Mytilus edulis: one gene and its partner. The protein of the gene in region 2 purifies or fractionates together with the protein of the main gene of each other region. This does not show direct contact. Links are inferred from orthologs where the notes say so. Each region holds a gene or a part of one and is shown on either strand. Other genes may lie near its edges.

Region 1 (7,123 bases), on a different chromosome or scaffold from region 2:
ATTGATCAAGATTTCTAACAAACCGGATGATTATTTAAATAAAACTCCTTTAAAAGTAAATAAATTTTAAGCATAAGGTAATGAAAATAAAAAACTAACATAAAAAAAAATGAAATTTCTTTGATTTTTTTTTTCTTTCTTTAATTTCATACATAAATAATGGTCATTTGAAAGATGAAATTAGGTGCCAGGAGATTGTGAGAATGCAGGATTTTGCTCTATTTATGTCAGAGCTTCTGGGGGCCTTGAGCTGCCCCCAGACCCCCTGCCGTAAGGCACCAAGCTTACAGCTTGGTGGCCGTCCGGCTTCGCCGAACGCATGTTACAGCCGCCTATAATTTTAATTGAGCCTTCTACTTCAATTTCAATGGAAAGCCCTGCTTGAGTGAAGCATTCGATCACTTGAGACTTATAGGACATTTCCGTTTTTTCTGGACAAAATTGGAAAATTAATGATGGTTCTGTAGGACTCATGTAGGACTAGGTGGTTGAAAAAAATTTCAGAGTAACTGTAGGGTTACACTAATGTCCTGACAAAGTCCTGACAGAAATGTAAATGCTTAATACTTTTTTGTTATTGGAAGGATTTACTTGAAATTTGGAATCAAGCAAGATGAGAACTTGTATTTAATAAATAAAATAAAAAAATAAAAAAATAAATAATTTAAGACTTAGAAAACTTGACCTGACCAACTTGACTTCGAAAATACTATTGTCCTGACCGATATGAAACGGCTAAAAAATAATTTATTATTGACAGGATAGACTTCAAATTCGATATTAAGGAAGATTAAATCATTTATTACAAAAATATAAGAAAAAAAAAATAAAAAAAAAATAATTTTAAGAGTTAGAAAACTTGACCTGACCAACCACGTCCAACCGTGACTAATGTCCTGACCGATATAAAACTGGTAATTTATTTCTTAAATTCCGTCGGATTGACTTCATATTTGACACAAGACAAGAAAGTAACATTGAGTAAATACTTATTTGAAAAGAATTGGGGGAAAAATACTTAAGAGGTAAGAAAACTTGACCTGACGAACATCGACTTTGTTGTGAGTAAATGTCCTGACCGATATGAAAGTGCTAATACTTGCAACATTGTTGGTATGATTGAGTGCTTAATTGAAACTAAGTCAAATTGTAACATTTTTATTTTTATACTTGTTCCAATAAATTGGAAATAAAATATTTCAATGGAAATAAATACTTTAAAAAGACTGAACCCCTTAAACTTAATACACAAACAACAACATTATTAGTTCTTACCTTATATTGTTATTGAATTTATTTATTTCCTATCCATAAAATACAACATCCAAAGCAAATAAATTTTGTTAAATGAAAAGATAGGGGAAATATGAGTTGCTGAGTGACTGTGAGTATTGTTTACCCCTTTGTTTCACAAATCTACTTCTTATTATAAATTTGATTAATAACTCAGAGTGAATAATGAAACTAATTATTGAATTAATAAACTCAATTAAAAATTATAAAAATGTATAGTGATTAGCTACCTATTGATTTTAATAAATAAGTAAATTGAAAGTTTTTTTTTCTTTCTTGGTGCAATAACTCAGTTAAAAAAAAATGTATTAAAATAAAGGCAAAGGAAGGTGACAATAATCAATAGAATTAAAACACACCTATATTAATTACTATAATCACAATTTGAAATGTTTTCTTTACAATCAATAAGTTATTTTTTGTTTTATCTAGTTATTGAGTGATTATACATGTCATATAAAAGCAGGAAATGGGCTTCGTTTTGTTTGAAAAGGATGTGTATACAAGCATATACATTAATATTATATTGGAATCACAAAGAAATACAATAAATTAACACACAAGTTCAAGTTCATAATTAATTAATTGGATTAACAAATAAGTGATTAATCTTATCATCACAAGCCCCTAATCAGATTGACTAATAGAGCAATAAGAGAATGTTAACATGAATAAACAATACTCACATTCAGCAACTGCAACTGGGCCTAACATTTTTCTTTCATTCATTTTAACTGTATCTTTCGTGTTCAATGTTGTTTTTCATATTATTGTGATCGGATATTTTAATTTCACTAATTTAAGGTAAGAGGTTAACATGTTAGAAAATTTATCAAGTCCTACAGTGGTCAGGTCAATATTATTTACCCTTGCAATAATTGTTAACTTTTTTCTTTTAGTCATTTAAAAATTTAATAAGATAATGATAGTTTTCAAACTTAAAGACATTTATTTAAGTAATTAACATAGTCATTCTATTTTTTAAAGATACATGCCTTTTTTCGGTGAATAGCCTATGTTGGTCAGGTCAAGTTTTTTGGTCTTTTCAACATTTTTTTTCTTTTTATTTCTTTTGATTTCTTTGTTAAATGTTGCAAACTTCTTAACTACTCAATTTGAATTCATTCATTACAATAACAAAATAGATAGAATCATTTTTATATCGATCCGGACATGAGTCACGGCAAAGGTGTAGTTGGTCAGGTCAAGTTTTCTAACTCTTAAAAAAATTTTTTTTCTTTTTTTTCCTGATATTTTTGTAATAAATGATTTAATCTTCCTTGGTATCGAATTTGAAGTCTATCCTGTCAATAATAAATTATTTTTTAGCCGTTTCATATCGGTCAGGACAATAGTATTTTCTAAGTCAAGTTGGTCAGGTCAAGTTTTCTAAGTCTTAAATTATTTTTTTTTAATTTTTTTAATTTTATTTATTAAATACAAGTTCTCATCTTGCTTGATTCCAAATTTCAAGTAAATCCTTCCAATAACAAAAAAGTATTAAGCATTTACATTTCTGTCAGGACTTTGTCAGGACATTGTCAGGACATTGTCAGGACATTAGTGTAACCCGTAACTGTAAAGTAAACAGATAAAAATTCGGTTATGATGAAAAATAATTAAGCAACACCCTTTGAAATAGCTACTATTACAGAATTCGTCCCTTTTATTGGTTAAACTCCTCTCACACTAATTATCGTATATTAACCTCGCAGGTCTTCTATCTGACATTTTGCATTTTCAATGTTTATAAATATTTCAATTTCCCTCCTCATACGCCGGAACTTGAAATGAATCACTGTTTCGAATTACAAAATTGTAAATGATTACTATTTTTTGTTTGATTGAAATAAAAAATAGTTTTTAAAAATAATTGGTTATTTTTTGGACTGTTTATACTAACATTTTCTTTGCAATTAAATTTTTGATATTTTCGAATCCGGGTTAAACACTCGGACGTGGGCAAACTTTGTTTAGAAGATCGAAAATTAGATGTCCACTGATTATTTAGGCAGTTCTGAAAAGTCAGAAAACGGCCAAAGTATAAGTCTGTATTAACAACTCCAACAGACAATAGTTTCCTCACTTTAACTTTATAAAGGTGTGTATAATTTATAAAAACAAAAAGGGGGTTGGTAAAGCAAAAAAGGAGGGGGCGGATCTGTGTCTGAGCGAGAAGTGATACCCCGAAATTCCGACAGTTAAGTAGTCTGTCAGTCCGATATTCCGTCGGTCCATTAGTCCAATGATCCGATACAACAACAGTGCGATGGTATAACATGGAGGCGTGATGTGTAAAGCCAAAAGAATGTGGATATCGTCTTCATATCAGAGGGGCAGCAGTGGCGGATCCAGCCATTTTAAAAGGGGGGTTCCAACTATATGCTCCCATTCAAATGCATTGATCGACCAAAAAAAAAAGGGGTTCCAACCCCCGGAAACCCCCCCCCCCCCCCCCTTGATCTGCCACTGAGCCGACCATTTCGGTGTTTTTAAGATCGGGATCAGGATCTGAGAATTCTCTTTTTGAATTTCAGGATGTCTGGATTTAAATTTCTTTAAATTAAGGACCTCGATATTTCATGTTTTCAAACCAGAAATTTCAGGATCAGTACCCCTCCGACCCTCCCCCCATCATATAAGCTTGTATATATTATTAGTATACTGTCAAAACACGAGAAGTGTTTAAATTGAAAAAGTGGAATGCATTGTAATAGGATCCAATAGACCACTTTCGAGTTCATCCGTCACCGGCAAAAACTCGTCAATTATGCACGCCTTTATGACGTCATTTACCAGATAGAGGGGGTCGCCTGTATCCCTGCACTATTTACGTTCATCAAGCGTCTTAGTGATCGTCTTTGTGCAGGATAAACTAGAAATAATGGTTGCTCTGTAGGTACTTACTGACAATTCCCTAATGACAGCAGTGTTGATTGTCAATTTTGAGAATTCAATTTGCCGAATAATTCGTATAATATAGAATTATAGTTTTCCAACCACTCGCTCAACATTGGAAGGGAAGTGACGACGCCCCAAAACGCACAAATGACGGTGATAAAAGGGCGTATAATTGACGAGTTTTTTCCGGTGACGGATGAACTCGAAAGTGGTCTATTAAATCCTCTTCTATATATATGAAGAATGACTGTTTGCATACAAGTACATGCGCTTGCATGTTACGTATTATGTTACGTATTATGTTACGTATTATGTGGTTGAATGTGAAATGTCACATGTATAAGATGTACATGTAGGCTTCTCATATCTGAGGGGTGTTAGGCCCAAAGATATGAGACAACTTGGACATTGGATTGATTTACATTGAAGTAGAAGACAGAACTTATTCACACACTGACACAGCAGTCAAAGCAGATAGTCCCTGGTTCCATTCTGACCCTCGTTGCGAGAGTTTTCATCAATTTACCCTTCTTCTCACATCTCTGGTACCAAGACCAAAGTAAAAACTTGGGGCTGTAATAACAACCACAGTTGAGTTTTTTTTAATTTTTTTTTTATATAAATAAGGGAAGTTACAAGGATGAGGAAGGTAACGAAGTCACCTATGCATAAGTATTAACTACATGATAACAATTGAATGATGTTACAGGGGCCTCAGACATGGAAATCAATCATCTAGTATGAGGTACATAATACTTCATAATTAACTTCTATATGTTAAAGATAACAATGGAGGGTTGTGCACCTCCTAACCCTGTCATACTCTGTGTGTGCCTGTCCCAAGTAAGGAGCCTGTAATAGGCTACTTTTAAGTAATGTCCCTCACCAGAAAAACTTGTGCTTCATGACATTATTTCCTAGAAAGAGGGCATTGCCTGAATCCCTGCACTATTAAATTTCATCAAGCATATTTGTGATCGTCATTATGCAGGATAAACTAGAAATAACATATGTTCTGTATCATAGTTTCCTATTGACAGCAGTGCGGATTATCAATTATAATAATATAGGGTTATTGCATGAATATTGGGGAATATTGTCCCGAGTAGAATTTTATATTGCACGAGCTTGCGAGTGCAATATATGTTCTACGAGGGACAATATTCCCCAATATTCATGCAATAACCCTTTTATTGTATAGCAATATAATATTTGAAAGGAAAAATTGGTTTAAACTAAGATTTTGTCATTGATGACGTCATGAATTTTGAATATTTATTGCACTAGTGCAATATTAGAATTTATTGCATGCTAACTTTTGGTTACTTTCTGTTGGAAATATTATATTGCTATACAATAAATTAAAATTATAGAATGATTGGTGCAATGTATTTAAAAAAAAGCATCATATTTTTCAATCACTTGCTCAACATGGGAAAGAAATGGCAAAGCTGCTGAATGCATGATTGATGTTCATTAAAACCAATTTTTTTTTAGAGAATTGCCACAAACTCAGATCACAAGTTGTCTTTTCAGTGGTTGTCTTTTGCTGTTGTATATTGTATTAGTATTTCATTCAAGTCTATGCAGTATGGGCTTTGCTGATTGTTGACCGCTGTTAAGGCTGTATGGTGACCTATAATGTTAACATCTATGTCATTTAGTCTCTAGTGGGGAGTTGTCTGTTGGGTTCATTATAGTAATCTAATCTTAATCATGCATGGGATATATTCTGGACACCTGATGAAGACAATTTGTCACCTTTTTTTTAAAGGACATTTTTTATGTCTCATATGTAAAATAAACGTAAATGTATAAGGCAGTACATCAAATTTATTCTACAAAAGCAGGAAAGACATGCAATTCTGAGTATCATTCCACTTCCTAAAAATCATTTTTTTTATTTTTCAGATTTTTATGTAGATTTGATAATATTCATTTAATCAATAATGGATAATGAGTCAGAAAAAATGGTAAGAATTTTATATATAAGCCCAAGACAAAATGGGGATGAAATAAAGTTAATTGGATGGACCCATACATGTAGCTAAAACTACTTGATAATGTTACCCAAGCCATTAAAGTGAAGATGTGTCTTAGCTTCTTAGGTCTAAAGATTTCTGCATTTATTCCTCAAAATGTTAGCCATATTTGCAGTGGTGTATTCAGTCATTTTCTAAAGTTGAAGGATACAATTTATAATTTTAAAATATTAAATCAAACAATAACATAATTTTATATGAAAATGATAAAATTCTCAGTGATCCTAAAGAGGTATCAGAAATTTTCAATAAATTTTTCATAAATGTGGCTAAAGATATAGGAGACAAAAACATTAAAATAGACAGAAATCATCCAAGTATAATAAAAATTGAAGAAAATAAAAATGATTATAATGAGTTGAATTTTAAACCTGTAGCAGAAGAGTTTGTGAGTAAACAAATAAATAGGTTAAATATAAGAAAAGCCACTGGATATGACAATATTTCACCAAAAATTATAAAATTGGCACAGCCAGTAATAGCAAATCCTATTAAAATTTTAGTTAATAAATCAATTGAAAGCTCAATTTTTCCTGATAATCTTAAAGCTGCTCAGGTTTCCCCACTTTTTAAAAAGAATAACTCTCTTGATAAAGAAAATTATAGACCTGTAAGTGTGTTGCCATGTATTTCTAAAATTTATGAAAGAGCTATTCATGACCAACTATTAAATGGAATTCTTAAATAAACATTTTCATCCTCTTCTTTCGGCATTTAGGTCAGGTTTTGGTTGCCAAACTGCACTTATTAAAATAATAGAAGACTGGAAAAAAGCTCTGGACGAGAACAAATTTATTGCTGCAATTTTGATGGATCTATCTAAAGCATTTGATTGTTTACCTCATGATTTACTTTTACTTAAATTAGAAGCATACGGTCTGTCTAAA
Region 2 (7,546 bases):
AGTTTCTTGTGTTGTGTGTCCAGGTGTCCTCTTATTTTTATTTTCATCTGCAATATTTTCACCTGATTCCTTTTTTTTTGGTTCCTTTTATCTGTGTTTGCCTTCTTAGTGTTATTTTATATCTGTGTCTTTGTTATCGCACATGTTTTTCGTGTTTCTAACAACCTCCATGTGTTCCTTTCTTCCTTGTTTGTTAATGTGTTCTTACCTTGTTCTTGTTTGATAATGTGTTCTTACCTTGTTGGTCTTTGTGTTAAATATTCTGATGATGGAGTCTCTCCCAGCCGAGTATAATCTGTTAATAAGTGGGTCAAACTGAAGGGAGTTAATCCCAGATCTGTGATGTCGTTCAACTTCATCTCGGATAACAAAAGAAACCTAACAAATAAAAAAGATGAAACTGTTAATAAGTGGGTCATTAATATTCTGCAATTATGTGTTCCATTGATCCAGGATCTTTGATCTGGTTATAACAGTGATACACCAGAAATGGTCCTCATTATTTCCAAGCTGTGAGAGAAAACTAAAAAAAAAACCTTTTTGTCGAGCCTACGACTTTAGTCGAAAAAGCGGGACTAAGCGATCCTACATTCCATCGGCGTCGGCGGCGTCCACAAATATTCACTCTGTGGTTAAAGTTTTTGAAATTTTAATAACTTTCTTAAACTATACTAAATTTCTACCAAACTTGGACAGAAGCTTGTTTGTGATCATAAGAAAGTATCCAGAAGTAAATTTTGTAAAAATAAAATTCCATTTTTTCCGTATTTTACTTATAAATGGACTTAGTTTTTCTGCGAGGAAACATTACATTCACGCTGTGGTTAAAGTTTTTAAAATTTTAATAACTTTCATAAACTATCCTTGATTTGTACCAAACTTGGACAGAAGCTTGTTTATGATCATAAGATAATATCAAGAAGAAAATTTTGTAAAAATAAATTTCCACATTTCCATATTTTACTTATAAATGGACTTAGTTTTTCTGCGAGAAAACATTACATTCACTCTGTAGTTAAAGTTTTTAAAATTTAAATAACTTTCATAAACTATCCTTGATTTGTACCAAACTTGGACAGAAGCATGTTTATGATCATAAGATAGTATCAAGAAGAAAATTTTGTAAAAATAAATTTCCACTTTTCCATATTTGACTTATAACTGGACTTAGTTTTTCTTCCAGTTAACATTACATACAGTCTGCAGTTAAAGTTTATAAAACATTTATTAGATTCATAAACTACATGTATCCTGGATTTTTTTACCTACTTGGAAGCTTCTTTCAATCAAAAGACAGTATTGAGAGGGAAATTTTTATTGATGTTTTTCCTCATTTTTGTTGAGTCTGCGATTAACAGCAAAAGTAGGCGAGACACTGGGTTCCGTGGAACCCTTAGGAATTTTTATTTTATTAATTTAATCCCATTACTAGTAAGCTTAAAATCTGAAATTTATAAAAATTCAAAGATTGAAAGGGCACTTAAGTCAATAGATGTATAAACAATTCACTAAAATTTCAGGAAAACTACTCAAAGCATTTTTAAAATTAAAAAATATTGTTGGAAAAATCCCCCTTTTTGTAATGAATAGAACCTGATAACTTAAAAACATAAACTCTAGAATTTATAAAAATCCAGAGGGAGCTCATGTCAATATATATGTAAACAATGTGCCAAAGATTCTTGGTAAAATTGTTTTTGAGTTATTGTCTGAAAACTGGGAAATCCCACTTTTTGTAATGAATAAAAAACCCAAACTTGGACATGTAACATCTAAAATTTATAAAAAAGAAAAGGAGCTCACGTCAATAGATATACAAAATTCACCAAAGATTCATTGAAAATTTCCAACATGTTGACGACGGACAACCATAATACGTCACATAAACAGGCCTAAGAAAATCAGGAAAACATCAAGCATGAGAAATAAAATCATAAACATTAATGAAAAAAATACTTGATTATGCAGTCATAATTTAACAGAAATGATAACCCTGCAGTCAACTTTTTTGTGTCCATAAGTTGCACCTGGTTTTGAAAAATATATAATTTATAGTAATCTCATGGACTTTATTGCATATATGTACCATACACATACAATATCTGGGCAGAATTAGTATGGTTGACCTTTGAATCAAATACAGGACAAGCACGAGAAATAAAAAGTACCAACACAAAAACACAAGGGCAAAAACGGAGAACGCACATCTACTTTAACACAAAAACAAGAAATTTTAAAACGTCAAAACTGGAAATCAAGTGAAATAAAACATCTGAAAAACTTGCATGTAAATAACACTTTTCATTTACATAAATATACATTGATAGGGCCATAATAAATAATAGGTTTGTTTGCCCTAACGCTACCTACCCAGAAAATAAAAACTGCCTACTCAAATTCTTTTATTGTCCTGATTTGAAGAATTTTTTTTTAATCAAATAGGCATGAAGACTAATAAACATCTGATACTTCAATTTCTTTTTTTGAAAAAAAAAAGAAAATGCCTACCTACCTACCTACCCACTGTCTCAACCTTTGGGTAGGGTTTGGGCAAACCAATATATTTTTAAGTATGGCCTAGTGGATTTTTCCATGGACTTGGATAGAAAAAAGTGCCTTGTTTGGTAGCTCTTATCAGTTAGGTCCTTATATTTTTTTACTGGTCTAAAGATAGTAAAAAAATATCACGAGGACCTAAGAGATACGGTAGGCAAATAGTCATACAATATCATAAGGACCAGACTAAGAGCTACGGTTCCGCAGCTACACATGTATCATATTCATAGTATGTGTTTGGTATAATTTTTTTTTTTATCTCACTCTTCTGACTTCTTAAATAAAAAAGTACATTGTCCAAAAGTATCCACGTCTTTCTATATGTATTAAGTTCTTCAGAAACAAATATATTTTGCACCAAACATTTGTGATAGCTTGTCAGTCACCTGAACTTTCTTTTTGCCTTGTCCTGCCGAATTTCTGTGGTGTGTAGCCATTGATAACATGTGAAATACGTCACTAAATTCGGGAATAATTCTAACCGTAATTCGGTATCGGAAGGACTAGCCTAATCCGGATTCACAAAATTTTGTCTCCAGGTTTTCTAATGATAAAGCTGGAGATAGTAACTCTAGCGACCCAAACCCACTTCTTCTCTATTCAATAAAACATATTTTAATTCTTAGCACGAAATATCTCATTTTTTTTTCATCTAGCTCTGCTGCGTTCAATTTTTTATACATTTTTTTTACATTAACCGATTAAATTATCTCAATTGTTGAGTTTATACCAACTTCCTATTAAAAAGATAAGAAATAAACACATTTACAAATATCTATAAAATACACTGTCTTTGGATAAATATTTTAACGCTGACGCTATTTTGTGGAAGTTATTTCAACTGAGAGTACCTCAGGGGAGAGTACAAACCATGGGGAAAAGCTGTACGGCATATCACATTCTAATTATCAGATTTTATCATATGTTGTTTCGATAGTCAGTCTTTGCTAAATTTTTGTAATAAATTGTAACTCATAGCATTACAAAAACAGATCCGCTATAAGTGGTGCACAGTTAGTCCCAATTGGAATTCCGATAACCTGCAGACGATATACGGAATCTCAAAAGCGAACAAAAATGTTATCTAGTAAAAATTCAAGGGCATATATAGTATCAAAGCATGTCCAATTGACAAAGTTTTGTTTTTTTATTGCTACCAAAAAATTACCTAAAAGAGTAATTAAGTTGAACATATATATTCACATTCAGACTTTTTAAATGCCCATTTAATTAGGTGGGTGAATTTTTTCTTAATGAGAATGTGAGGCAAATTATGTGGTATACAGGGTAGAAAAATCAAAACTTTAACAGATATAAAATCACCAATATAAGCATGCAATTTATCAAGTACTTCCAACGAGTTCTTGACACTCCAAAAGTAATTAATTCCACTATTTTCGAAGGCCTTATTTGAACAATTTATTATCAGGTTTTTGATTGTACCAAGTGTACTGGTAAGAAGAATAGACAATTTAGTAGTGGAACAATGGCTTGCCTGAAGACGAAATAAATCTATATTTGTAAGGTGTTTTGTGTAGCTTCGGAATCCAATACATAGTTGGGACTTTCGTTGTTTTTGGTTCTGCTTGTAATGACGGCGTGCACAGAGTTGACGGCAATTGTAAAATGCGCTTTTAAAAGTAGCTTTATACAACCATGTAAATCATACATTTCAAACAGGAAGTTTTTTTTATGATGAAAGGATGAACACTAGCCATTAACATCCAAATTATTAAAAAAAGTTCTCAAAATAAAATCTATGAAGTATGAAACAAACATGGAAACGGCAAAAACATATGTAACTTGTAACATTAAATAAGCATAAAATAGAGTTTTTGACCTGAAATTTGTACAAATTTAACGTACTTTCTTGCATTTCGTACAGTAGATATTTTAGGATTCAGACTATAAAGTCAAACGAACTTTACCTAAAAAAAATCCAAATTGGCCATGGAGGATGTGTTGGAAATGAAGTTCGTTATATGTAAGAAGTAGACATTTTTAAAGCTTAATATTAGAACATGGAAGAATCGTTAAAATAAATATGTACTTGCTATTTTCATATTGCGAAATGACTTGATATTCTAAATGTGCATAAAAAGAGGTTTCAAAAAATTGCAATATAAGAAGGATTCGATAGTCCAGACTGAACACCTGAATTTTCCAAACTGTCCAGCCATTATGTTACAGATTAAAGAAATGACGTTTTAACGCTATTTTTGTTATTAGGGTCCATGACATAGTCGCTAATTGTCTCCATTACACTGTTCTAAGCATATTTTTTTTTTAACATTTTCAGAATGTGCATTTGCTGTACTTTGTTATTCGAAAGAAAAAGAAATATGTTGAACGTTTATGTTTAAAGTTATGTGATAAACTAATTGTCCAGTGTTTTTGTTACGCTTACGTTTTCTGGGGGAAAATAGCGGTAAATGATTTTAGTAATTTAAAGACGTTACGTTTTTGGACTCAGCTTTGTGCACGCCATCAAAGTGGTAGCTAAAAGTTTATGTTTATTACAGATGTCGTTTTCTGAAAATGGAGTCAGTTGGAATGTTGGTGAATTGGTGATTTCTTTTTTCAGAACCTCAATGTAACAATAATAATATTATAAGCAGCTTTATCGATCGGGACAAAAACAAATTCCTTGGCTAGTTCTTTTAGTTTATGTTTGATACGAGAAATAGGTTTATTGTGGTTATTGTTAATAGTAAAACTATTTTATATTAATGCTATATTAATATCTCAAAGATTAAATGAAAATACTGTCTTTCCACAATATATCGACAATGGTCTTCTGATAATTTGATCGATTAGAAAATTATTCCTACTACATGTTTGAAAATTTATGTTTATCTGTTTATATATAGATATAGCAAGATGAGGTATGAGTGCCAATGAGACAACTATCCATCCAAATAACAATTTATAAAAGTAAACAATTATAGGTCAAGGTACTGCCTCCAACACGGAGCGTTGGCTCACACCGAACAACAATATTTCAATATTGCTCTTTTACACATGCGTATGACTCTGGTCTGGCTGAGGCCAATAAGAATATAGAACTAGAGGCTCCCTAAAGCTTGTGTCGCTCACCTGATTCTATTTGGGATTTTGAAATATTAAAAAATGTAAAAATTTGTAACAGATACTTATAATGATGTTTTAGGCAAAATTTGGTTTAATATTGTTTTTTTTGGTTACATTTCTTTCAGAAGTTCTCTTAAAAAAGACATTTGTGTGTATTTCCTATAGGGTACCATGTTCAACTAAGTCCCCGTCTGGCGGTCATCTTGGATAATGGATCTGCTACAAAGTAACAACACTTGGTCAGCACCTCATAAGGAACATTCATGCCATGTTTTATTTCATTCCATTCAGTGCTTTTCTAAACATGCTAAAAGAAGACATTTGTATGTATTTCCCATAGGGTAGTGTGTTAAACAGAGTCCCCCGCTGGCAGCCATCTTGGATGATGGATCGGCTACAACGTAAACACACTTGGTCAACATCTTATAAGGAACATTCATGCTATTTTTGGTTTCATTCAATCTTATTAAAATAAGTTCTCATCACTTGCTCCTCGATTTTTTATATGTCGCCGTGTCACAACGTAACAACACTTGGTCAGTACCTCATAAGGAACATTCATGCTATGTTTGGTTTCAATCCATTCAGTGGTTCTCTAAAAGAAGACATTTGTATGTATTTCCTATAGGGTCCGAAGTTTAACCAAGCCCCCCCCCCCTGGCGGCCATCTTGGACGATGGATCGGCTACAACGTAACAACACTTGGTCAGTACCTCATAAGGAACATTCATGCTATGTTTGGTTTCAATCCATTCAGTGGTTCTCTAAAAGAAGACATTTGTATGTATTTCCCATAGGGTACAATGTTAACTAAGTCCCCCGCTGGCGGCCATCTTTGATGATGGATCGGCTTTCGTAACAACACTTGGTCAGCACCTCATAAGGAACATTCATGCTATGTTTGGTTACAATCCATTCAGTGGTTCTCTAAAAGAAGACATTTGTATGTATTTCCCATAGGGTCCCATGCTAAACTAAGTCCCCCGCTGACGGCCATCTTGGATGATGGATCGGCTAAAAAGTAACAACACTTGGTCAGCATCTCATTAGGAAAATTCATGCTATGTTTGGTTCCATTCCATTCTGTGGTTCTCTTAAAAGAAGACATTTGTATGTATTTCCCGTAGGGCGCTGGCGGCCATCTTGGATGATGGATCGGCTACAAAGTAACAACACTTGGTCAGTACTTGCCATGTTTGGTTTCATTTAATTTAGAGGTTCTCTAGAAGAAGTTCAAAAATGTAAAAAGTTTACGACGACGGCCGACGATGGACGACAGACGCCAAGTGATGAGAAAAGCTCACTTGGCCATTTGGGCCAGGTGAGCTAATAAAGTTGATTATATATCCATATCTATATATGATTGTCAAAATAACACATGTCTCTCAATTTTAAAACATCATTATAATAAGTCTTCAGAACTTATGGAACCTTTAATTGGAATAAAATATATAAGCGTGTAAATATTTTTATAATCTTGAACGAGCATTAAAACTATCATTTTTTTTTAAATTCAACACTTTACCTCGAAAGTTACAAAAAAACTAAAAACGTGTCTAGATCCGTTGATTTCCACAATTGAAGGAGCGCACATTGTCAAAAAGTAAAGGTAATAATGTATCTTCTAATGTATTCGCCATGGAAATATATGCATGTGTAAGCATGTTTTGTTTTGTAAGGGTTGTTACTTTTAGTTATGCGGAGTGTCGTTCGTGCATACATATTTTGACAATATTGAAAATTATTGTTATTTTTTGGCTGCGCTAACACACACTAAAAAGGTACTAAGACAAATTATTTCTAATTAATTGTTGGTGCAGTCTGGTCACAATAGCTATACGTCCATGAAACCAGATTGTCATTCAACGTACTGCAACTGTGGAGCTAAACTGTTATTTAA

Evidence for each region.
Region 1: the proteins of WD repeat-containing protein 48-like (region 2) and RAD51-associated protein 1-like purify together in Homo sapiens (affinity purification with mass spectrometry; 5 studies listed by BioGRID and IntAct, counting the BioPlex papers as one, with this or other methods). This does not show direct contact. The link is inferred for Mytilus edulis from reciprocal best matches to the Homo sapiens genes WDR48 and RAD51AP1.

What each region holds. Positions count from the first base shown.
Region 1 is NC_092350.1:13,501,369-13,508,491, forward strand, and holds the start of RAD51-associated protein 1-like, read right to left. Parts: upstream 3,106-7,123; 5' UTR 3,025-3,105; coding exon 3,002-3,024; intron 1-3,001. UniProt on the Homo sapiens protein: Structure-specific DNA-binding protein involved in DNA repair by promoting RAD51-mediated homologous recombination.
Region 2 is NC_092355.1:81,255,550-81,263,095, forward strand, and holds the start of WD repeat-containing protein 48-like, read right to left. Parts: upstream 3,012-7,546; 5' UTR 3,003-3,011; coding exon 2,943-3,002; intron 379-2,942; coding exon 238-378; intron 1-237. UniProt on the Homo sapiens protein: Regulator of deubiquitinating complexes, which acts as a strong activator of USP1, USP12 and USP46. Enhances the USP1-mediated deubiquitination of FANCD2; USP1 being almost inactive by itself.